Ovis aries: one gene and its partners. The protein of the gene in region 1 interacts with the protein of each later gene in a pairwise test. Links are inferred from orthologs where the notes say so. Each region holds a gene or a part of one and is shown in the gene's direction. Other genes may lie near its edges.

Region 1 (3,939 bases):
GCAGCCACCGAGGGAGGGGGCGGGAGCGGGGGCGACAGGGGGCGCGAGGCGCCGGCGGGCCCCGGGGACGGCGGGGCGCGGGGGTGGCCGTGGCCGGAGAGCCCGCGCCGGGCCAGAGGCACAAGCCGCCTAAGCCCCCGCGGCGGCGCCACCCAGACCCTGCGCCGCCCCGCCCGGATTCCCCCAGGTCATCCCCCTTACCCGTCGGCGACTCTAGTCCCACAAGCCGGCGCGAGAGGACAGAAGGGATCGAAGGGGACGCGGACAACCCTGCCCCCGTTACCTGAGGGGCTCACACGCCGCCGCGGTGACCACCTTCGCCGACCGTCCCGTACCCTTCCTGGTGACCGCCAGCGCCGCCGCCGAGCAACTGACACTGACTAACAACAACTAACTAACTACTCGCCGCCGCCGAGTCCACCGCGCGCTCCCGGCCGCCCGCCGCCCGCCCGGCCCACCAGCCAGCCCGCCTCCTCCTAGCCTCGCGCGCCGCCTCTCCGCGCGCGCACTCGCCGCCGCGCTCCTGGAGCGAACACGCGCGCGCGCGCGCACGGGCCCTCTCCTCAGCCCCGCGGGAGGAGTCACCATGAGGCCCCACCTCTCGCGTTCCTACCTCCCGGGAGAGACCTAGAGCACGTCTGATTGGCCGAGGGGGCGTGGCCAAAGGAAGAGGGCGGGACAACCAGGACCTTCGGCCGGCGTGAAGGGAAATTTCAGTTCAATTACGCTTAAGCGGAAAAGGCGAACGAGGTACTGCCTCATTTGGTGCCTCAGCCCCCTAGGTCAGCCTACCGTCGAATACAGAATATGTATCTTCAAGGACTCCAGCACACAGTAATCACCAATTTAAGCCCAATATTTCTGCAGGCCTTAATTTTAAAAAACTACATCTCCCAGAAACCTAGGCGAAAATAAGTCTCACCTTACGTAATCACGTAGTCAGTCCTTCGCCGCCTTTGAACAAAATAATCCCTTCATTTTTCTGAAGGTATGGGGAAAAATGTTTCATTTTTCTCCTCACTGGAAAAATTTTAAATGCAGCGATTAAAGAAGTTACCTATGGAAGGCAGTTAAGAAATTAAGTAAAGGGAAAGAAAAGGCATCAATATAAAGTACTGCGGAGGAATTTTTGTCAAGCTGTGAGACGACGGAGTGAGAAGAGTGAAGGCGGTTGAGAGGGGCTCAGGGAATTGTCCTGTGTGCCAGGGACTTTCTTTAGGCCTCGGGCCCCTGTCTACCCCTATCATCAGCAGGTCAGTAAGCGAGGCGAGCTTGGGGGTGGCCACAGTGGAGGTACCCTTCACCCCTTGAAGATCACCCCTCTTTTGCTGTTACTGGTTGGCCTCAGTTTGAGGCCGACTGAATGGGGGCGCCTCACTTCCTGTTGGGGGAGGGGAGGAAGGCCATCCTGGGGGAGGGGGGAACATAACTCACTTCCTGTGGGGGTAGGGTGAGAGGTTGGGGTGTCCAACCCATTTCCCGTGCCGGCGAGAGCTTGAAAAGGTGGTGCTTGGTGCCATATGCATAGGCGGTATCCTAAAGCTTTGGGATTGTGTCTTAAGTGAAAAAATTAGGTTATTCCACGAAGTTGTGCTGATCACCAGCCTCCAGTCAGAATTTATGTGAATTTTGATTCCATGGGTAAGGTGAAAATTTTCTCCGCAGTAGAATTTTCTTAATGCATTTGTCATAGAATTCGAAACCTCTTGTTAAAATTTTCTACCCATCTGTGCAAGATGACATACTTTCTGGTGTGACTCATGAATTGCCCACCCTGCTCCTCGACTCAAGTCCAACCTTGACTTAGAGTGGTATAGCGGTATTCTTCGCCTTGACGTGCCACAGGAACTCTATAGCAATTCTTAAAGAGCTTGTTTATTACAGGACTCGATATTTTACATAAACTATGAAATTTTCACCTTACGAAAGTGAAAATATACCCAGTTAACAGATGTTACCTTAACTGATGTGATTGGTGTCCTAAATCCGTAGACCTGTTGCTTTTAGGGTACAGGTTCTGCCCTGTGCCTGAAAACAACTTCCTCAGGTTTAAAAATCGATTTAATTAAATTACAAAGGGGGGGAATGTACTACAGTGCGACTTACACAGATGTTACATGTAAGTTACATATAAGAATGTTTAAAGCTGAGGAAGTTGTTTTCAGGCAGAGGACAGAACCTGTAAGAGACCTGGGTCCCATCCCTGAGTCAGGAAGATCCCCTGGAGTAGGAAATGGCAAACCACTCCAGTATTCTTGCCTGGGAAATCCCATGAACAAAGAAGCCTGGGCAGGCCAGAGTCCATGGGGTCGCATAGAGTCCAGCACACCTGAGCGATTCAGCAGGCACATGCATGCACACATACCCAAGCACCGATTTTAAAATGGTGTCTACACTTTGTGGTTTTAAGGCATGGTGCAGGGATCCTGAAATTCAGCTCAGATTTTAAGTAGGGGGAAATTTGGGCTCATAAAGGACAAAAAATATGTACCGGAACATTCTGTTTTTCTATATTCTCAGTGTTTTGTAAGAAACTACTTGTAATAAACACTTAACAGTTTGATTTCTTGGCTTGTTTTCAAGTACCACAATACTTAGTAGGTGGTGAGGGTACTGAAAGGATCAATCTATTTGGTGATTATAAAATTTCAACAGCTTTAGTAGTTTTAGAATATCTATCAAGTGAACTGTAATGTCTTTCAAGAATATTTAAAAGAATAAGGCTTTTGTATTTTTTTCCTTTAGGGTTCTCACCTAATCTACCCTCAGAATTTGCAATTGTTTTAATTCTAGTTCTTTTCAGAAGCTAGTTTGTTTAGAGTTTATTAGAAAATCTGATTTACACTAAATGTTTAAACATCTGTAAAACTTAAATGTCACAATAAGGAAAAAGATATGTTTTGATCTTTTATAGACATAAAGACAAAAAAGCTAAGACCCAAAAATCAGTGAGTTACCTTTTCAAGGACTACAGAATTTCTGCAAAAGTTGAAAAGACAGGACACATTTATGTCTGTGTTACTGTTAATAAAAGGAACATATAGACTGCCTCAAGCAAGTATTAATTGATTAGAAAAACCTGTTCATTATCTTCTGTTAGTGTACTATAGAAGAAAATACTATATGAGGCTCCTGACAAACTATTAAACTACAGCATTAAGAACTATTGAAGTGAGTAAAGCTTGTGGAATTAGATGAAATAGAGAAAAAGTAAGTTAAAATATTGATTGAAATACAGTAGTAGTGCCTTTAGGAAGCTATCTTTGAAAAGCAAAGGAGTTTTTAAAATTGGTCTTTATACCATTCCATGGAAGAAATGCAGTATAATAGAAATAAGAAAAATTGTTGCAGCTGAGAGACTTGAGCAACTTGAAGAATTGTCTGTTCAGAAGAAAGCAATTTATAAAGCACATATCTGAAAGAAGATGTTTTGTGATAAGTGGCAGTTATTCATTGGTTCCATCGAAGAAGAAATATTAGAAAACCTTGTGGAAAATAGAGGGAAGTTCATGGAACCTGCTTTTATTCTCTTTAAAAGTGTTTTTGTAGAGTAGATTGCTGTCTTCCAAAGGCTTTTTTTTTCTTCTTACAGCTCTTTGATGCAGTTTTCTTTTCATGTTCTAATAGAGACATATTATCAAAATTAGAAAAATAAAGAATTTTGTAAGTGTACTCTGTTGCTTCTTTAAGTAAATGAATTTCATTCCATTACTTGTCATCAAGAAAAAAGAGATTGTCCATTTTTTCATAATATTTAGATTAGATAACCATTTTCTTTTTCAAAAAGCAGTCATTAGATATACTGCTCATAGCAGTCTGAAATAAAACAGTAGGTCAAAATTCTGGATTCTGTCTCACTGAAGTTCGATTATCCAGGAAGTGCTAGATGCTATCTCTAATGCAAAAGGATCTTTTCATTCTTTTGTCTACCTTTCTGTG
Region 2 (3,500 bases), on another chromosome or scaffold:
ATTTTGCTATAAAATTTCCCATGTAATTCATTACACCTTGGTTGTGAGAATCCTAAGTTAGCTTAACATTAGAGTTCAGAGGTAACTTGAAAAATGTTTTTTTTTTTCTCTTCACAGAAAAAGATAATGCTAAATATGTTTTTAGACACAATGATGGCCGATCCTCCTCCCCAGTGCCTTGTCTGGCTACCTCTCATGCATAGGCTTGCCCACGTGGAGAATGGTAAGCAGAACTTTCATCATTCAGTCCCCTGTGCTACAGGAAGTATGTGAACTGGTAATATTTGTAATGTTCTTAGCTATTGTCACTGAAAACTGTAATTGACATTTGTTGGCACTCCATCATTTGAATTTGTAGTTTCGGCTTTCAAAGAAGAATATTTATTTCTCAAAAAAAAAAAAAAGAGGAAAGAGGACTTATTACTTAGGATACCAATGTAGTAATATCAGGTCAGAAAACTTTGTGTTTCAAACTCTAGGCTTTTCCCCCTAAATTCCAGATGATTGTTTTCTGCTTGATCCCACCCAACTTAGCCATGACTTCCTTTTTTCCCCCTGTAGTGTATAAAAAGCTTAGCTCCAAAAAATTGAATGTATTAAATATCCACCATTAAAATTATAATTGTTTTGGAATAGTTTAAAGGAAAGTAGCTAAGATAGAATTTGGTACTTGGTTTCACCAGTACGGTTTTTTCCTTTACTACTGCATTTCTCTCAGTATTCTCCCTAAGTGCATGCATGCCAAGTCGCTTTAGTGGTGTCCAGTTCTTGTGACCCCATGGACTGTGTAGCCTGCCAGGCTCCACTGTCCATGGAATTCTCCAGGCAAGAATACTGGAATGGGTTTCTTCCTGACCCAGGGATCAAACCTGTGTCTCTGGCATCTCCTGCTTTGGGAGGCGGGTTCTTTACTGCTAATGCTAGCTGGGAATCTTTGTTTCACTTGGAACTGAAATGGTATTTACCTCTGAGTAACTTCTTAGGTTTTTCTAGTATTGTTATCAGCTTATCTCCTTGTTTAGGTTGTTTCAGTTCATTAAAGGAAAGGCCCTGGTTTTCCCTGGACCTTCCCTTCGCTCATGGCTCTTGCCTGTCTCTCCTTATTCCACAGAAGAGAAAGAGTGAAAGGTGACAGGCACTAAAAATTAGAGTCCTCGTCTTCATTTTATAAGAATGAGAGAACACAACCATACTCTTATATCTTCTGGCTCCTTTTCATATCTTTTTTTTTTTTTTAATTTCTCAGCCTTTTGCCCAATTATGACTTTAGTTCACAAGTCCTTAGATGCAAGATTATTTTCCAAAAGTTCTGAAATTTCTTGAGTAGACTAAAACAGTTAAATTTTAAACAATATTTTTGGAAAGAGATTTGTGCTATTAAATTATAACAATATTGCTTCCTTGGGGGAGCAATACTTTTATAGTCCTAAATGTTTTAGTAGTTTCATATCCAGCTCATTTTCATAAAATCATTTTAGGCCTACTCTGCCAAGTAGAGGGAATCTCATTTGTTGAGATGTATTATCATTATCCATGTGAACATTTTGTTGTGACTTTCTACGTAGTCACATTGATTACATTATTGATTACATTCTTATGTGATTAACACTTTGATTACTCTTTAGAAATATCTTGGTGACAAAAATTTAAATTTCTTAGAGGAAGTTTAAACTTTCAATTTCTCATTCCAGATTTTACTCTTTCTGTTATTCTTTAGTGATCTTGTTGCATTATTTTTTTCACCAAGTGCTCAGGTTTTGTCCTTGTTTGTTTTGAGTCTTGATTCTCTAGTTAACCTACATTGTTAGAAGCAGGACTAGAAGTCCTTATAATTGAAATAAGATTGCCTTTGTATCCGTAGGGCCATAAAGAGCTATTCAAATGATGATTTGGCTATTACACCCCTCTTTCCTTTGACTTAGACTTCTTGTGTTCAGAACTGAATTGGCAAAGGGAACAATGTTGCTTTCAACATTTAAAAGTATAAATAACAATCTGTGATACACAGTTGTGCATTTATTGCCCACTTTCCACTCAATGAACTGGACTTTCAGGCCCCAGTAACCATTATAAATCCTAACTGCCAGCTGGTGGTTTTCCACCAGGTAAGATGCTGTGTGAGGTGGAGAAAAGAGTGGCAGGTCACTGAGTTTCCCTTCCTCCAAATCACTGCCCCTTCCTTGGTTAGATTAGAGTAATTTATTTTATGTTAGTACTTAGAGCTCTTACCTAAAACTAGTACTTTTTTAAAAAATTAAGAAAAAATTTTTTTTTAATTGAAGGACGATTGCTTTACAGAATTGTGTTGGTTTCGGCCAAACCTCAACATGAATCAGCCATAGGTGTACATATGTCCCCTCCCTGAAGAGCCTCCCTCCCAGCTACCTCCCCATCCCCACCCCTCTAGGTTGTTACAGAGCCCCGGTTTGAGTTCTCTGAGTCATACAGCAAATTCCCATTGGCTATCTATTAAAACTAGTATTTTGATGTGGCTTGCCTTACTTTTTTTTTTTTCACCAGTTCCCATTTGCTCCCCAGTATGTAATAGTATTTAATTCAGCAAACATTTCAAGACCATCAGTCCAAGGGACTGTGTGAAATACCACTTTGCAGGTAATAGAGACATATAGCATGTCGTCCTGACCCTCACAGATTTTATGTTAGTGAAGGAGACGTGTCCACAGCCAACAATATACATCTCTTTAAAAGAGATAGGATTGGAAGAGAAATTTGGAGTGAAGGTGTCTCTCCTCCTTACTTATACATGTATGCAAACTTTGAGACATGAATGATGTTTTAAAGAAGGAAATTGGTTTCTAAGGTGAATTGTAATTGATTCTCAATGGGACCTTTTGGTATTGTCTTTTTATTTCAGTAAATGGCTGGTTCAGTTCAGTTCAGTAACTCAGCCCTGTCCAACTCTTTGCCACCCCATGAACCGCAGCACACCAGGCCTCCCTGTCCATCATCAACTCCCGGAGTTTACCCAAACTCATGTCCATTGAGTCAGTGATGCCATCCAGCCATATCATCCTCTGTTGTCCCCTTCTCCTCCTGCCTTCAATCTTCCCCAGCATCAGGGTCTTTTCCAATGAGTCAGCTCTCCGCATCAGGTGGCCAAAATATTAGAGTTTCAGCTTCAACATCAGTCCTTCCAGGGAACACCCAGGACTGATTTAGGATGGACTGGCTGGTTAGATGAACTAAATAGAAGACAGTTGCAGTTCTTCAGTGCTAGTCGTGTCTCCACCTTGGCTTTTATTTTGGTCTTCCACTGCACTGGCCTTCTTCTCCAAATGACAGTGACTTCTCTCTCTCTCTGGCCCTCTCCTCCCCGCCCTCAAGTCTTCCACCCTGTGGAGTGCTCCTATTGCCGCTGCGAGAGCATGATGGGTTTCCGGTACCGGTGCCAGCAGTGCCACAACTACCAGCTCTGCCAAAACTGCTTTTGGCGAGGCCATGCCAGTGGCCCTCACAGCAACCAGCACCAGATGAAGGAG
Region 3 (3,500 bases), on another chromosome or scaffold:
AGAGCTGATCAAGTTCAATGTCTTACATGTGTGTGATTTTTTACTCTAAATTACAATAGTATCATCAGAGATCAGGGAATTCCCTGGCAGGCTAGTGATTAGGACTTAGGCAAAATCAGTAATCACAGATCCCCATAACAAATATGATAGTAATGAAAAAATGTGAAATGTTGGGAGAATAACGAAAATGTGACACAGAGATGTGAGTGAGCAAATGCTGTTGGAAAATGACGCATTATAATAGACTCGCTCAATACAAGGTTGCCACCAATCTTTAGTTTGTAAAAAAAAAAAAAAAGGCAATATCAGTGAAGCACAACAAAGCAAAACAATAAAGTATGCCTCTATTATAAATTCCTTGAGAGTTAAGGCTAGGGCTTTACTGATCTTCACTATCCCTTATTGTTAGTACTTTTTAATGAGTACTTTCCACTGCTAAGGAGGAAAATCAGTCATCTGTATTTTGTGCTTTTTTCATTACAGGGAAAATCAAAACCAATTAAAATTTTAACTAGACTAACAATTATCGTTTCGGATCCGTCTCACTGTAATGTTTTGGTAAGTTACTTTTCTTCTCTCTTGGTCTTGTAAGTTGTATTGATTAATGTTGAACTCTTGCTTTTCAACTCACCTCATTCTTAGATCTTCCCCAACCCCCAGTGTATGACACTTGACTGCTCTCCTTAGCTCAGAATTCACATGGTATAATAGTCTCTTCTATTCATGACACATGTATAAGGATTAAAGATTTAAAGAGTCTTCCAGCAACTGGTATTCATTGAACTTACATGACCCAGACATAGAGTACTGGTGATGTTGCTATGAATAATACAGATATAGTCCTTTGGAAAATGAGAAGAACATTTAAAAAGTGGGAGATAGTAAATAAGGAATGTTCTAGGAGTGTGTAACAGGAGGCCAAGCTGAGGAAGCTGATGTTCAAACTGTGGCCATATGAATCAGTGAATGTTGTTGGTGCCAGATAGGGAGAGGATAGTCCCACAGACAGGATAAATTATGCAAGGTCCTGAATCCCAAAAAAACATGGTGCATGGTGGGAAATGAAATGCCAGTTGAGTTGAGCCTGATGACCTGTCTAACCTAGGATGATGTTAGAAAGGTAGGTCTGGGTGAGCAATTAGAAGAAGCCTATGAAGGTTTTAACTAAGGGAGTACAGTTTTGAGATTTGCATTATAGAGAATGGATCAAAGGGGATAAAGGCAGGGGAGGGGAGGATTGACAGGATTTGATGTTGATTGGATCGAAGGTGGTAACTCCCTGCTTTGGCCTGAGCAGCCAGATAGGTAGATGGTCCCATTTCCTGGGATGAAACATACAAAGAGAAATAGGTGTCAGATCATCATGTGTGAGACACAGTAGGTTATTGTAAGAGTTCCAGTGAGAAGACAGCCACAATCGTGTCCAGCTCTTTGTGACCCCATGGACTGTAGCCCACCAGGCTCCTCTGTCCATGGAATTCTCCACGCAAGAATACTGAAGTGGGTTGCTATTTCCTTCTCCAGGGGATCTTTCCAACCCAGGGATCAAACCCAGGTCTCCTGCACTGCAGGCAGACTGTTTACCAACTGAGCCACCAGGGAAGCCGCAGGAGTTCAAGTGGAGCTTGTCAGATGAGTAGTTGGGAAAAAGGACATGGCCCTCGGAAGAGGGACCCCAGTTCAAGATACTCATTTGGAAGTGGTCGCCTTGTAGAGAGTATTGTACTCATGAGAATGGATGAGACTCCCCGGTCAAAGTATAATGTGGGAGGAGAAGGTCTGGGACAGCATCCTAAGGAATAGCTGTATTCGGTGGTGGAGGAGAGGGTGAGCCAGGATGGGAGACTGAGACGGGCCGTCTGAGGAGTAGGTGGACAATGAGGAGCATGAGAAGGGTGAGCAGCATCAGTGTGCCTGAGTACTCAGCCAAGCAGGAGAAGGGCTAAAACATGTCTTGGCCAGGCAGGTTCCCTAATGACATGGTGGTCATTGGTTGCCTTACAAAAAGCCATTTCCATGGAAGTGATTGGGCTATGAGAAAATATAGCCAGTGTCTGCTGCTAACTTTGCTTAAGAAACTTCACTCCATGGAGGAATAGAAGGCTTGGGAGGCTGGTGAGAACCTGCTGTCTAGATTCTGTTTCTTAAGTGGAGACTTGCAAGTAGCCGGTACTGATGTGAAGAGTCAGTGAGGGAGAAAGTGAGATCTCTGAGAACCTGAGCTGTTTCATCATTAGCTGGGATGGCCTCCTCTCTCACAGAAAAGGAGTGATCAAGGAAGGGCTGGCCTCCTTTCTAACAATTAGCATTGCTAAAGAAATTATGAAAAACCAAATTTGGGAGTTTTTTATACCTGCAGGCTGCATTCTGGTTCTCTAAGCCTGGGGAGACATAGAGTTGACTTTTTATGGCCACAGACTTTGATTTTTCTCTTATTACCATGGACATCCTGGTGGCCCCTTTCAGTCCCTGTCCCAAGTGGGAGTGTCAGACAGAGGAAGAGAGTACTGGATCCTGACTTTTTCTGAGACCTGGAACCTGCCCTGTCTTGGCATGCATCTGCCCAGTGGGTTCACTTAGCTGCTCAAGCACAGTACCTGCTGCATCTCTTCAACCGTTCTGTTTCCTCCTTTAATGTTTATCATGCTTTTTCTTTTTACAGAATAAGAGGTAAAAAATTTTAAAGGTGCCAAAGGGAAAGAAAAAACAGCACATATTATCTCATCATTCAGTGACTGTATACTTGAACATGTATTTTTTCAGCCTTTTCACATGCATACGCATACAGTATCAGTTTGAGACTTTCTTTTATAAACTTTAACTGATAAATCTCTCTCCTTCTGTCAGAGGACTCTTGGTTATTTTCTTACACATCTAGCAGTTTAATTTGTATTTAACCGTATTCTCATTGTGAACCTAATCACATCATAGTCAGTCATGTGTGTTTCTCATCTCACCAAAAAATGATAAGCTCCACTGAAAGCAGATATATGCCTTAAATGATTTTGTATCCCTCGTGCCCTACACATAGCAGGTGCTCAGTAAGTTTCTGGCAAGCTCCTCCGCTAGCTTATAAGAGCAGGAGCTGTCTAATTTGATTTTTGTGTCTCAAACAAAATGTTTGATATACAGGTAAAGCATGACAATGTGGGAAGGAAGGAGAGATGATTGGGGAGATGGATGTTGATAACTAGAGTCTTACATGCTGAGAAGGTCTTTTCTGTCAACATACAAAGCAAAACAAAAATGTCAGTGGCATAAGTATTACAAGTTGAAATAGAAGTGCAGCCAGGACGCTAGTCAGAATCCCATATGCATTGTTGTTGTGTTGTTACTGTACGGTAACATTCTTTTCATCTTACTAGAGAGCAACTTCTTCAAGAGTCCGGCTATATGACATTGTTGCAGTTTTTCCAAAGACAGAAAAACTTTTTCATGTAAGTAACAGTAAAAGAAAATAGTACTCATTATTTTACGTAAGAAGTCTGATGTTGTACCTT
Region 4 (4,014 bases), on another chromosome or scaffold:
GGGCGGTGCTCAGGCTTCTCTTGTTGCGGGCTCTAGAGCACACAGACTGCAGTAGCTCGGGTAGGTGGGCTCAGTAGTCACAGCTCCTGGCTTTAGAGCACAGGCTCAGTAGTTGTGGCACAGAGCTCTGTGGCATGAGGGATCTTCTCTGACCAGGGATCAAACTTGTGTCTCCTGCATTGGCAGGGGGATTCTTCACTGCTGAGACACCAGGGAAGCCAGAAAACCCTTTGTTTTCATTTTCTGTCCTGTATGCTTCAAAAGGGCTTCCTTGGTGGCTCAGTGATTAAAGAGTCCACCAGCAATGCACGAAACCCAGGAGATGTGGATCCGATCCTGGAGCTGCAAAACTCTGGAGGAGGACATGGCACCCCACTCCCGTATTCTTGCCTGGAGAATCCCATGACAGAGGAGCCTGGCGGGCTACAGTCCATGGGGTCACAAAGAGTCGGACATGACTGAAGCGATGTAGCGTGCATGCAGGGTCAGTCTTCTGTGCAGGCATTAGGGGAAAACTCCATGGAGAGCACACGTTTGCATGCCTTCAGTTGCCTGGGACTTTACTATGCACACTGGATACATCCTCTTGGTGCTAATTCCAGATCCACACAGTGCTCCCAACCACAGGGTTTCTCAGAGGCCAAACAAGAAGGGATTCCTTTAAAGTTTCTGGATGCCTGTTCTAAGGATAAAATCAGAATGCAGTGCCTGAAAGAGGAAAGAAATGCTCAGAACACAGGGCGTGTGCTGCAGTCAGGGTGACAGTTTGGCTGGGAGTTGATGAGGGTGATGAGTAGAAGGTTTTCAGCCTCCAGTCTTGTACAAACCCTGCTGGGCACTCGATGAGGGCCTCATTCCTGTTCATTTTATGTGGCCGTTTTCTCCACGTTTCCGATTCTGGAGGTCAGGATAGACCTTGCAGTGCGAGGCGGCCGGTCCTGACTCCACTGGAGCACCCAACCTTCCTCGTGGTACACAGACTAAGGGTCCCCCTCCCCTCCGGGGTCCCCCTCCCTGCGGGGGTCCTACACACACTGGGGACAGCTCATCACCGTGATGGCTGGAGTCAGGCCTCTCGGGCCACTGGTGGGGGACACTCGGGGGACAGTCCTCCAACCTGCTGGGTGGCCGTGGGAGGTGGGGAGCCCTCCCCTGCACCCTGTCCACCCCATCTCCAGCCCAGCCTCTGTCTTGCAGGTGTCCCCGCGGCCGCCATGGGCAAGCAAAACAGCAAGCTGCGACCGGAAGTGCTGCAGGACCTGCGGGAGAACACGGAGTTCACGGACCATGAGCTGCAGGAGTGGTACAAGGGCTTCCTCAAGGACTGCCCCACCGGCCACCTGACCGTGGACGAGTTCAAGAAGATCTATGCCAACTTCTTCCCCTACGGCGACGCTTCCAAGTTCGCTGAGCACGTCTTCCGCACCTTTGACACCAATGGCGACGGCACCATCGACTTCAGGGAGTTCATCATCGCACTGAGCGTGACCTCGCGGGGCAAGCTGGAGCAGAAGCTCAAGTGGGCCTTCAGCATGTATGACCTCGACGGCAACGGCTACATCAGCCGCAGCGAGATGTTGGAGATCGTGCAGGTGCGCCCGGGGGGCGGGGCTGGCACCGGGGGCGGGGCCTCAGCAGACCGCGTTCACTCGGGGACCCCATGCGCGACTCCTCGGCCCGCCTCTGGACCTTCGGGGCCACGTGGCTGCCTGCCCCTCTATCCTGCCCTTCAGAAAATGACTGACTGTCACCTGACCAGCGGGCCCTTAGATGGTGATGAGACAAGCCACTGTTGGGCCTCCCAGATGGTGGCAGCGGCGGTTTAGTCGCTAAGTCCTGTCTGACCCTTGCGACGCCATGGACTGTGTAGCCTGCAGGCTCCTCTGTCCATAGCATTCTCGAGGCAAGAATACTGGAGTGGGTTGTCATTTCTTTCTCCAGGGGGGATCTTCCCAACCCAGGAATTGAACCCGGGTCTCCCGTATTACAGGCAGATTCTTTACCGCCTGAGCTATGGTGGAGCTAGTGGTAAAGAACGCACCTGCCAATGCAGGAGAAGGACCATTGTTTACCTATCATTGGTGGTACAAAGCCCTGGCCTACACGCCCCTGATGAGCTGTGGTCTTCCCAGTTCTAAGGGGAGGGGGTGTCATTCTCAGCCTTTCACAAACTCTGAGACTAGGTATGGTTGGGGTGGTGGTGGTGCGGGGGTATGATTTCCTGAGAGTTACCAGTTATTGTTCAGTTGCTGAGTTATGTCCAACTCTTTGAAACCCTGTGGATGGCAGTATGCCAGGCTTCCCTGTCCTTCACTACCTCTCAAGAGTTTGCTCTAACTCATGCCCATTGAGTCAGTGATGCCATCCAACCATCTCGTCCTCTGTCATCCCCTTCACTTCCTGCCCTCAATCTTTCCCAGCATCAGGGTCTTTTCCAATGAGTCAAAGGTGGCGGAGTAACGGAGCTGGGAATTAAAAAGAGAGGACCCTTGACACTTGCGAAAGGCACTGCCATATTCCCCTATTTAAGAATGCAATAGACAGCTTGTCATGTCCTCAGGAACACACAGTTGTAAAGCCAGACTGAGACATTGGTGGTGACGGAATAGGCTCTGGCCCAGGAAGCGCCACTTCAGAAAGCTCTTCTCTCCTGTCAATGACTCTGGCAAGGGAAGCTGTTTTCTGGCAAGAAACCAAGTTTTGTTCACTTCCCCAGGTTCCCAGGTGCCTCTGCTCCCTGGGTCCCCACCCCCTGCTCCCCCACTCCTGGAGCCTGGGAACTCAGTTCTAGAATTCCTCAGAGGAGGTGTTCTCTAGTCCACACAGTAGAAACTTCTGGACTAAACTACACACAGAGGGTATCAAACTCAGGAGCTCCTTGATCAGCAGCAAGTAGCCTGACCCGTTTCCCAAACAGGTGATTTGCACGCATGAGAATAAACCAGCACAGGTTCAAGGGAAACTGTCCTTCAGCCATTGATCCTGGCTCTTAGCGACAAGCAGTAGTGGAAAGAAGAGATCTGCTTCTGGGGAATCACCTGTCCCGACCTACCTCCTGGCCCTCACCCTCCTCTGTCACTGGCCAAGCAGACTGGCTGGGCCAAAGCTTACAGACACGGCAGAGCTGTGAGAGCCGAAAGGGGTGCCTTCCTGTCCAGATGGGATCTGGCTGCTAGGCCCCCAGACCGAGTTCCTAAACCCTAAGCACCTTCCCCCTTTGTCGGCAGATGCTAAGCAGGATGCCTGGCTGCTACACCTTCATCAAAACAGACTGGGCTCCAAGTTCATCACAGCCCAGCAGAGACAGGGAGGGTCTTGGCTCTGCATTCTCCGCACTCGGACGAGTGCCTGGCTCTGTCCCAGGAGGGAGGCCTGTCCCAGGAGGGAGGCCTGTCCCAGGAGGGGGGCCTGTCCCAGGAAGCGGGCCTGTCCCAGGAGGCAGGGCTGTCCCAGGAGGCCCTGAAAGACACACTTGCTGTGCGGTGAGGCCTTATCACCCCTGCCTGCAGGTGGAGAGGGGCCAAGGAGTACAGAGTATAATAGATACAAGAAGCCTCACCTGGGGTCATTCTTTCTGGTTTGGTTTTGTAAACCTGCTTTTTAAGACATTACAGCTTCCAGGTTTCTGCTGTTCTTGGTCTGTTTGTGGAATGAGAGTATCAGTCAGTCAAGCCATTTCCACATAGAATCCCAAGTAGCACAGCCCCCTCACTCTCACATGTTACTCTGATGAGCTGCTGGTCACCGGCTTCATCATGGCCCCCTGGACACACACACACACACACACACACACACACACTGATGCACATATACACACGCACACACCACTACGCCTGGACTCTTGGACAGAGACGGCCTGCATGGTGCCGAGCCCTCGGATGGCAGCATCCTGAAGAGAAGGTTCTCGGTCCTGCTGGAGAGACCCATGGGCCCCGGGCCTGTCCTTTCTGGGGCTGGTGGTGTGGTTTCCCCTGGGAGTTGCAGAGGCTAGCTTTTCTTGCTTCTCACCGAGGT
Region 5 (4,033 bases), on another chromosome or scaffold:
ACTGAAGTGACTTAGCAGCCGCAGCAACAGCAGAGATATACAGAAGACCATGTTAACTCCCAGTCTTCAAGAAAATGGGCAGACAGAAAATTGAAAATCTGACCTTGACAACCCTGAGTGACTGGCAATGCCCTAGAGAGAAAGGAGGAGAGGGTGTGTATAATGGGGTGGGAGGGGGCATCAGGAAGGGCTGCCTAGGGATGACTCCCTGCTGAGTGTTGAAGGGTAAGTAGGGGATGTCCAGGTGAAGAAAGGTTCTCCCCTGAAGAATATGGAGGGCTCGTGAACCTGGGAGCCTGTGGCGGTGACAAAGACAATATATGCCAAAGACCTTGTGAGTGGATGGGTGAGAGAAAGGATTGGTGTGTGTCCCTGGCTTAGGAATCTCCCAGTGCTTTTCTGGATGTCCTGGGACGCCCCAGTTCTCAAGTGTACCCATATTTTTCCTAGCTAAGACCTTCAGAGATGTGAGAACAATTGTTTCTTCAAGACCTGGCCCCTGGTAGACGTTCCTTGAATGAATGATGAAGTTAAGTGAAATAAGCCCGCGTAAGTTTCACATCTCCCATTTTTAACTGTAAATCAGCAGTGCCCACCCTGAACAGGCTATGCGTGCATGATGAGTGGGGGTCATTCTCGCAGCCCACCGGGAGTAGGGCTCGTGGGAAGGCAAGCGGTGGAGAAAGGCGGCCTTCGGACACTAAGGACAGTGTAGGGCCACGGAGCCGCCCCTCCTAAGAGGGTCCCTGCTTCTGGCTTGGTGAGGGGCGCACGCACGGACAACAGAGGGATCAGGGCCCCGAGTTCACGTATCCTGGCCTCAGTTTCCCCGCTCCTGCCCTCACGCAGTTCTGGGGCGGGTGGCCGGGGTCCGCGCCGACTGCAGAGCTGGGGGGCGCGCCCTGCGCCATAGGGAGCCAGGGGAGTGGAAAAGCATCCGCGTGTTTGCAGGAAACAAGCCGGGAGGATCCGTCCATCCTTTTGGTTTTCCTGCCTCATCACCGAGCTAGACGGGATCCTGGCACACGGAGCAGAGGGGGTCTCCTCGCGCAGCCGACTCCTGGCTGCTCGCACTCTCCGCGCGGGTCTCCTCCCATCTCCCGCTCGCTCGGCCTCGGGGAACTCGGGAGCTGCGGCGGCCGACCGGCTTCCGGGCGGGCGGCGGCGGGGGCGGTGTCAGGTGGCCCGGCCAGGCCCCGCCCCCTCGGCCGGCCCGCCCTCCCTCCCCTGCGCACCCGGCTCCGGTACCCGGCCTCGCGGCGGCGGCGGCGGCGGCGGCGGCGGCGGCGGCGGCAGCGGCAGCGGCGGTGGCGAGAGCGGCCATGGAGGCGGGCGCCGGGGCCGGCGCGGGCGCCTCGGGCTGGAGCTGCCCGGGCCCAGGTCAGAGCGCCCCTCCTTCACCTCTCCACTGCCTCTCCTTCCTCTTCTCCATCTCTCCTCCCCCCAGACCCCCACGGCCTCTCCCCCCTCCGCTACTCCCCACCTTGACGGCCGAAGTCTTCCTCCTCCCTCCCTCCCGCCCCCCACCCGGGCCCGGTCTCCATCTTTCCCGGCTGGGTCTTCCCCACACCGGCCGCATCCTCCTTGGCATTCCCTGCCCTGAGCCTTCTCAATCTCGACTCTCCAGCCTCATACTGCTTCCAGCCCTAGGGGCTCTATAGATCCTGCACCCGCTCGCACCCCTAAAGCTTCTGAGCGCGGGGCGCGGGTGGGGTGGACGAAGTCTAGGGAGAGATGGAGGGGAGGGGAGGGGGTCCGGTCCACACGACCCCCGCCAGCCATCGCCGGCCCCCTCCCCACCTTCCCCTTAGGCGCACTACCTCACCCTTTCAGCCTCTTTACTTGCTCCCACCCTCTGCCATCCTTGTCCATCTTCCCCCTCTGTCCCCTCTGGGCTAAAGAGACACACACCCTTTCTACCTGTGCGAGGGAGAGGAGCCTGGAACAGAGGTTGCAGAGGAGGATGGGCAGGGCAGGGCGGGGTCCCCAGAGGCCCAGCCTAAGGGGCAGCTTGGGGAGAGGAGTCGCAGTGCCTGGCAGAGTGAGCCAAGTACTTCCACCGGGATAAAAACCCCCAGGGCTCCGAAGGGCTAGAAGGTGTGTCCCTTCCCCTCCCTGCCTCACCCCAGCCACCCTGGCACCCCACAATCCCTCTCTCTCCTTGCTCACAGGACCCACAGTGACCACTTTAGGCTCCTATGAGGTGTCGGAGGGTTGTGAGAGGAAGAAGGGCCAACGCTGGGGGTCTTTGGAACGGCGGGGGATGCAAGCTATGGAGGGTGAGTTTTCCTGTAAAGCTTTCTTTCCTTCTCCCTCACCCAATTTTCCTTCCTCCCTCTGACCCTCCAGAACTCTGAGCCAGGACACACACCTTCCCCCTAGTTCAGCTCAGCACCCGCTAGCCCTCCTCAGGGCTCAGGTTTTGAGGGAAGTTCAAGGTACATCCTTTTGGGGTTCTAATCACCAGCTAACCAGGTTGTGTGTCCCGAGGGAGCTGCCAGACAGAGAAAGAGGCCTCTTTGGACAGAGCTTTGAAGCAGCCTTTCAGCAGGGGGTTTGTTCTCTCTGCCTCCCGACCCAGATCCCAAGCTGTCTCTTATTTTGAAAAGCAGGGAAGTGAGCACGTGAACTGTCTTTCTGGTGCTGCCACCACTGACTTCAAATGGAAGCCTGGTGGCTTTGGTTCTCTAGGCTATCTTACTGCCTGAAAGAGGGAGCCTGGGAAGGGGGCTGCTGAAAAGGCCAACCTCCCAACACATGTGTATTCCCACAACACCCATGCGACTTGGCAGTTGTTGCCAACACCAGGAGGATGCTAGAAGGGTGCCAGTCCTGTTGCCAGGACTTCCCGTGAAGGGTCCCCAGGTCCCTGTGCACATCTAGTGTGGTCAATCTTGCCCCTTCCCCCCCCACCTCCACTGACCCCGGGGAGACAGATGATGCCAGGGGTCCCAGATGAATCTTAGGCTGTGGTTACTGGACAAAACCAGGCCAGAGACTCAGAATTTTAAAACAATTGCCATCCAGATAAGGTTTTGCTATTTAGAGAAACTGCATTGCAGTAAAGGAGGGGGTGCTTGCCAGCCAGAGACTGGGGACCAACACACCCCAGTTTCTTAACTCATTAAAATGGCAGGCTTTCTTTTACACACAAGTACAACCTATGACTTTCCCCTAAAAACTGCCTTGTGGTCAGCAGGGGAGGAAGTGAGACCCCCAGACACTCAGCAGGGAAAAGAAAAGTGGACTTGGTAGAAAATTTCAAAAAGTCTATTCAATGGAATATGTTTGGAAGGGCCCCAGTGTTTGTCCAGTAAATCCTTTAGATCATTTCATTCAGATGTTCTCTTTCTCTGCCTACTGACAGGCAACACTTTCATATAATGGAAAGGCTAGTTTCTCACAAGCCACCTGGATCGTTTGTAAACTTTGTACAAACCCCCAAACTGTAATTCTTGCCCTGTTTGGCTTAAAGACACACCCAGTGTCTGAATCCTTTCTTGACTACTTGTGCCCAGAGACAAGGATAGAAGAAGCAAGGTATCCTTGTGCAAGCCAGTCCCTGGCTGTTCAGTCCACCTGAAGGCAGTCCTTGGAGGCCCCAGAGGCAATATTGGTCCAGGAAGTGCCTGGGAGGGGGATGGATACCTCCAAACTTGACTCTCACACCTCAGGGCCCCTCAGGCATGCAGGTGCTGCCCAGAGGCTCCTTGGGGGACACCAGGTGGCACTATTATACCATCTCTGTCCTCTAAGGACAGTGAGGTGGAGGGCCCTCTAAGGACTGTGTAAGAAAGTTGGCTCTTACTCGCTGGCGGGATGTTGCGGGGGTCTCTCCTAGGGGAAGTGTTACTCCCAGCTCTCTACGAGGAGGAAGAGGAGGAGGAGGAGGAAGAAGAGATGGAAGAAGAGGATGATCCAGGGCAGAAAGGCGGCAACGCAGGCTCCCTGTCGGTTAGCAAGCACCGAGGCCTGAGCCTCACGGAGACGGAGCTGGAGGAGCTGAGGGCTCAGGTGCTGCGGCTGGTGGCAG
Region 6 (4,137 bases), on another chromosome or scaffold:
CTGGTTAACCAATCTAAGTCTCAGTTTCTTCATCTGTAAAAAGGGCACAATAATTATATGCTTGATAGGGATGTGAGGATCAAATGAGCTAATGGATGTAAAGTCTTTAGTACAGTGACTGGCCTAAAAAATAAATGCTGCTCCCCTCCGTTGGGATAATGGGACAGGATTTGTTCCCACCAGACAGTGCAACACTGAGATGAGGAAACAAAAAGATAAAGGTGACCAAACCTTTATCACAGTCAATTTATCACAATTAGTTAATATAAACACAATTAAGAAAATTTCAGGGGAAGTTGCCTAGAGGGCCATACATTCTCATGAGGAATAAACCTCTTCTAATTGGGTGTCTACGTCCCAATCCTGGAAGACTCACCGTCACCCCGTATTTGAGTGCTAGTCCAGCCAGGGTGTCTCCGGGCGCCAACTGATGCTCCAGGCGTCTTTCCCTCACCGGGGAGCAGGCAGACTGCACCAGGCTTCCATAAGAACGAGCCCGGCTCCCTTGAAGCAGTCCTGACCCCCCGAGGGGGGCCTGTCTAGAGGGAGAAGCCATCTCCTCACCCTGCGGACACTGAGGTTACAACCCCGGGAGGCCCGGCCAAGTGACCGATAATGACGGGCTCGCGGTCCGAGAATGGGTATCTTAGAGGATTCCTCTCTTTCAGTCTTCTCTCTTAAGTCTCCCCGCCTCCCCCGGCGATACGCGACTTGTCAGCCGTAGCTTCTCCTCCCTGCAAGTCCCCTTCCCACAAATCTGTACTCCGACTATTCAGTCCCTACCTGAGTCTTTCCTTAGCACCCCTCCGACTTTCGACTCCCCACAACAACTCGCTACGTTGACCCCTGACCTTTGAACTCTAGCAGCCTCCTTAACACGCAGCTCAATTTGCCCCTACGTCTGGCAGCCCGACCTCCAGGCTCCCCAATACCCCGACTCCGCCCGGTCCCGGGGTTAGCCCTCTAGGGTCAGGAACAGATCAGGCCCACCCTATATGGGCTGTGGTTGCAGGCGAAGGGCGTGACAATAGCCAGAGTCTGTAGCACTCTTTCTCCGTCAGAGATCCTCAAAGGTATTCTCCAAACCAAATCAGTCACACCCTCAAATTCGGGCTCCTCATCTAGGTTCTTGTCATTCCAAACGCCTCGAATCTGCCAAGACGAAAGGGCCTGGATCCAGCCCGGCGGCAAGCTCTTTGAAAAAAGACTTCATTTCCCAAAAGGCCCCGCGCCGGTGAGGTCGCAGGGCACCATAAGAAATACAGTCCCCCTCGGCCGGCTAGAAGCTGGCTTCCGGGATCGCGCAGTGCATTCGTGGAAGCACACCCCCGGAAGTCAGGGGGCCAGCAGGAAAGAGACCGGAAGGAACGGAGACGACCCACTCCTGCTACGGTGGCCTGAAAGGCGTGGCGAAGGCGGCTGGATAGAGTTTTTGATTTCTGGGGCTCACAGTCTTGATGTCTTTCAAGAGGGAAGGAGACGATTGGAGTCAGCTCAATGTGCTCAAAGTATGCGGAGAGGAGTGCTTCCGAAGCAGCTTCACCTGCCCTCTGAAAGCTGTAAAGGAGCTGTTTTGTTGCTGTGGCAACAACTGGGGGGCGGAGTGGAGGGAACCAAAAGACTAGAGGTGGTGGTGACCCCTTTTTCACCGCAGATGTGTGTTCTCCCATGGTCTTTATTCCCTTTCAGTCCTCGTCTCTATCATTTCCCTTTTATCCTTCCCTCATATCCAGCTGATCCCGTGCGGACTTCTTCCCCTGTCTCCTGCAGAAACGAAGGGTCGGGGACCTGCTTGCCAGCTACATCCCAGAGGATGAGGCGCTGATGCTACGGGATGGACGGTGAGAGCGAGGAGTGGATCAAGTTTAAGGGTTTTGAAGTTAGAGACTCAAGAACTTTTGTTATTAAGGAGGAGAGCGGGAGTATCTAGGATTCTTTGGCTGGGAGTGAGTAACAGGGATGTGGGTGATGGAGACTGGGAGACTTGGGAGTTGGGCTTTGGAAATGAATGCTTGGACGGGGTGGGACCTATGACCAAGACTCCACTCCCCAGGGACCAATTATCTTTCTTACTCCCCAGCTTTGCTTGTGCCATCTGTCCCCACCGACCCGTCCTGGACACTCTGGCCATGCTGACTGCCCACCGTGCAGGCAAAAAACATCTGTCCAGTAAGTTTGGGAAAAGACAGACAATAGAGTAAACCCTTAAAATCTCTTCAGACCACCCTTGGTGCTCTGCTTTTAATCCTCTTCCCCTTTCTCCTCAGGCCTGCAGCTTTTCTATGGCAAGAAGCCAGCAGGAAAGGGCACAGAGCAGAATCCAAGACAGCATAATGAACTCAGGAGAGAAGAGACCACAGCAGAGGTAATCAGAGAGGGGAAGTTGTGTTCCAGGCAGGACTGTGCTGCACACCTTAGGCTAAAGGACTTTGGCTTATTTCTGGCTCTGAAGGCTCTGACTCTGCTGTCTCCATGCCAGGCTCCTCTCTTAACCCAGACTCGACTTATCACTCAGAGTGCTCTGCACAGAGCTCCTCACTATAACAGTTGCTGCCGCCGGAAGTACAGGTTAGTGGGATGGGAAAGCCAGAGGTAGGGAGGGACAAGAGATAGATAGCTCTAAAGTGATTATTTTCCTAATTGTAATCTGAGACATACTAAGTGTTCTGGGGGTGTTAACTTGTATTTCAGGAAAAAGATTTTTGTAACTAAAAAAGTGCTTTGTAATCCTATTTGATTAAAAATTAGTGTATTTTAAGGGTTCTACAAAATCATAAGATAAAAAAAAAACCTTAAAAGATTTAGACTTTCCTAAATTTACTGGATTCCAGAATTCTTTTTATGCAGAACACTTACTAATATCTTGAGGAACACAAAATTGGGAAGCACTCCTATAAGGAGTTGGGAGTCACAGGAGATTAGGCCCTTTCCTTTACTGCTTTTACAGACTTCGATTCTTCTCTGTCCAGACCGGAAGCCCCTCGTCCCTCTGTCTCTCGTCCCCCTTTGCCACCCGCAGAGGCTGAACCCCAAGGTGGGAAGATCAGTAGAGAACCTGAGCCTGAGGCTGGCTCACAGACCAAGGAGTCAGCCACTGTCTCATCCCCCGCACCTATGAGCCCCACAAGAAGACGGGCCCTGGATCATTACCTCACCCTTCGAAGGTGAGTATGCAGAATTTTTCCTCAGTTTTTCCCTTTTATCTCTGACCCTCCTTGTTTCAGAGCTTCTCAAGTGTTTTTACTTATCCCCCGGGGCTTCCCAGGTGGCACAGTGGTAAAGAAGACATCTGCCAATGCAGGAGATGCAGGTTCGATTTCTGGATCAGGAAGATCCCCTGGAGGAGGGCATGGCAACCCACTCCAGTATTCTTACCTGGAGAATCCTGGCGGGCTACATTCCATAGGGTCACAGAGTCAGTTCCTCTTGAAGCAACTTAGCACACGTGCATGCATGCACAAAGACTCCTTACATATGTAACTTTTTTTTCAAATAGTTCAGGAAATTAACTACAGTTAGATAGAAAGAACTATTGGGGCTTCCCAGGAGGCTCAGCAGTAAAGAATCCTATAGTGCACAAGAGGCAGGTTCGACCCGAGTTGGGAAGATTCCCAACTGGAGAAGGAAATGGCAACCCATTCCAGTATTCTTGCCTGGGAAATCCCATGGACAGAGGAGCCTGGCAGGCTACAGTCCATGGGGTCACAGAGTTGGACATGACAGAGCACTCGCACACATGCTTTTCTTAATTTAATAAACTTCCTTTCCTGACCAGTTCTATTTTCTGGTGTTTCCAGCTCTGGATGGATCCCAGATGGACGAGGTCGATGGGTAAAAGATGAAAATGTTGAGTTTGACTCTGATGAGGAGGAACCCCCTGATCTCCCCTTGGACTGACATCCTCGTTCCCCATTCATTTCACAAATAAACTACAGCCGGCGCTGGGAGCCCAGCTTCTCCTGAGTCTGGTTCCTTGTTTCAGGATTTCAGATCTGTTCATTCTCAGCCCAGCCAATTCTTCTCTGCAAGGTACACAGCTCCCCACACTTCTGACCCCTCCCCCACCTTCTCCCACAGTCATGCCAAGCGTCAGCTGCATGCAGCCTGGTGCCCTATTAATAAGTCTGTCAGAAGGAG

The links.
Region 2: the proteins of HMG20A (region 1) and DTNB interact in binary tests that used the Homo sapiens proteins (3 or more experiments, as listed by UniProt). The two-hybrid records come from large-scale screens. The link is inferred for Ovis aries from reciprocal best matches to the Homo sapiens genes HMG20A and DTNB.
Region 3: the proteins of HMG20A (region 1) and RPP30 interact in binary tests that used the Homo sapiens proteins (3 or more experiments, as listed by UniProt). The two-hybrid records come from large-scale screens. The link is inferred for Ovis aries from reciprocal best matches to the Homo sapiens genes HMG20A and RPP30.
Region 4: the proteins of HMG20A (region 1) and HPCAL1 interact in binary tests that used the Homo sapiens proteins (3 or more experiments, as listed by UniProt). The two-hybrid records come from large-scale screens. The link is inferred for Ovis aries from reciprocal best matches to the Homo sapiens genes HMG20A and HPCAL1.
Region 5: the proteins of HMG20A (region 1) and CCDC136 interact in binary tests that used the Homo sapiens proteins (3 or more experiments, as listed by UniProt). The two-hybrid records come from large-scale screens. The link is inferred for Ovis aries from reciprocal best matches to the Homo sapiens genes HMG20A and CCDC136.
Region 6: the proteins of HMG20A (region 1) and SCNM1 interact in binary tests that used the Homo sapiens proteins (3 or more experiments, as listed by UniProt). The two-hybrid records come from large-scale screens. The link is inferred for Ovis aries from reciprocal best matches to the Homo sapiens genes HMG20A and SCNM1.

The regions. Positions count from the first base shown.
Region 1 is NC_056071.1:30,345,916-30,349,854, forward strand, and holds the start of HMG20A (high mobility group protein 20A), read left to right. Parts: upstream 1-1,139; 5' UTR 1,140-1,253; intron 1,254-3,939. UniProt on the Homo sapiens protein: Plays a role in neuronal differentiation as chromatin-associated protein. Acts as inhibitor of HMG20B. Overcomes the repressive effects of the neuronal silencer REST and induces the activation of neuronal-specific genes.
Region 2 is NC_056056.1:32,941,721-32,945,220, reverse strand, and holds part of DTNB (dystrobrevin beta), read left to right. Parts: intron 1-117; coding exon 118-223; intron 224-3,345; coding exon 3,346-3,500.
Region 3 is NC_056075.1:12,323,017-12,326,516, forward strand, and holds part of RPP30 (ribonuclease P protein subunit p30), read left to right. Parts: intron 1-483; coding exon 484-558; intron 559-3,365; coding exon 3,366-3,437; intron 3,438-3,500. UniProt on the Homo sapiens protein: Component of ribonuclease P, a ribonucleoprotein complex that generates mature tRNA molecules by cleaving their 5'-ends. Also a component of the MRP ribonuclease complex, which cleaves pre-rRNA sequences.
Region 4 is NC_056056.1:19,580,104-19,584,117, forward strand, and holds the start of HPCAL1 (hippocalcin-like protein 1), read left to right. Parts: upstream 1-1,214; coding exon 1,215-1,592; intron 1,593-4,014. UniProt on the Homo sapiens protein: May be involved in the calcium-dependent regulation of rhodopsin phosphorylation.
Region 5 is NC_056057.1:94,459,525-94,463,557, forward strand, and holds the start of CCDC136 (coiled-coil domain-containing protein 136), read left to right. Parts: upstream 1-1,233; 5' UTR 1,234-1,322; coding exon 1,323-1,380; intron 1,381-2,171; coding exon 2,172-2,279; intron 2,280-3,841; coding exon 3,842-4,033. UniProt on the Homo sapiens protein: May play a role in acrosome formation in spermatogenesis and in fertilization.
Region 6 is NC_056054.1:101,063,773-101,067,909, forward strand, and holds SCNM1 (sodium channel modifier 1), read left to right. Parts: upstream 1-1,337; 5' UTR 1,338-1,457; coding exon 1,458-1,559; intron 1,560-1,733; exon of another isoform or gene 1,734-1,770; coding exon 1,771-1,841; intron 1,842-2,080; coding exon 2,081-2,169; intron 2,170-2,267; coding exon 2,268-2,365; intron 2,366-2,479; coding exon 2,480-2,568; intron 2,569-2,969; coding exon 2,970-3,164; intron 3,165-3,797; coding exon 3,798-3,897; 3' UTR 3,898-3,952; downstream 3,953-4,137. Other genes in the region: LYSMD1 (lysM and putative peptidoglycan-binding domain-containing protein 1), read right to left, coding at 377-556. UniProt on the Homo sapiens protein: As a component of the minor spliceosome, involved in the splicing of U12-type introns in pre-mRNAs. Plays a role in the regulation of primary cilia length and Hedgehog signaling.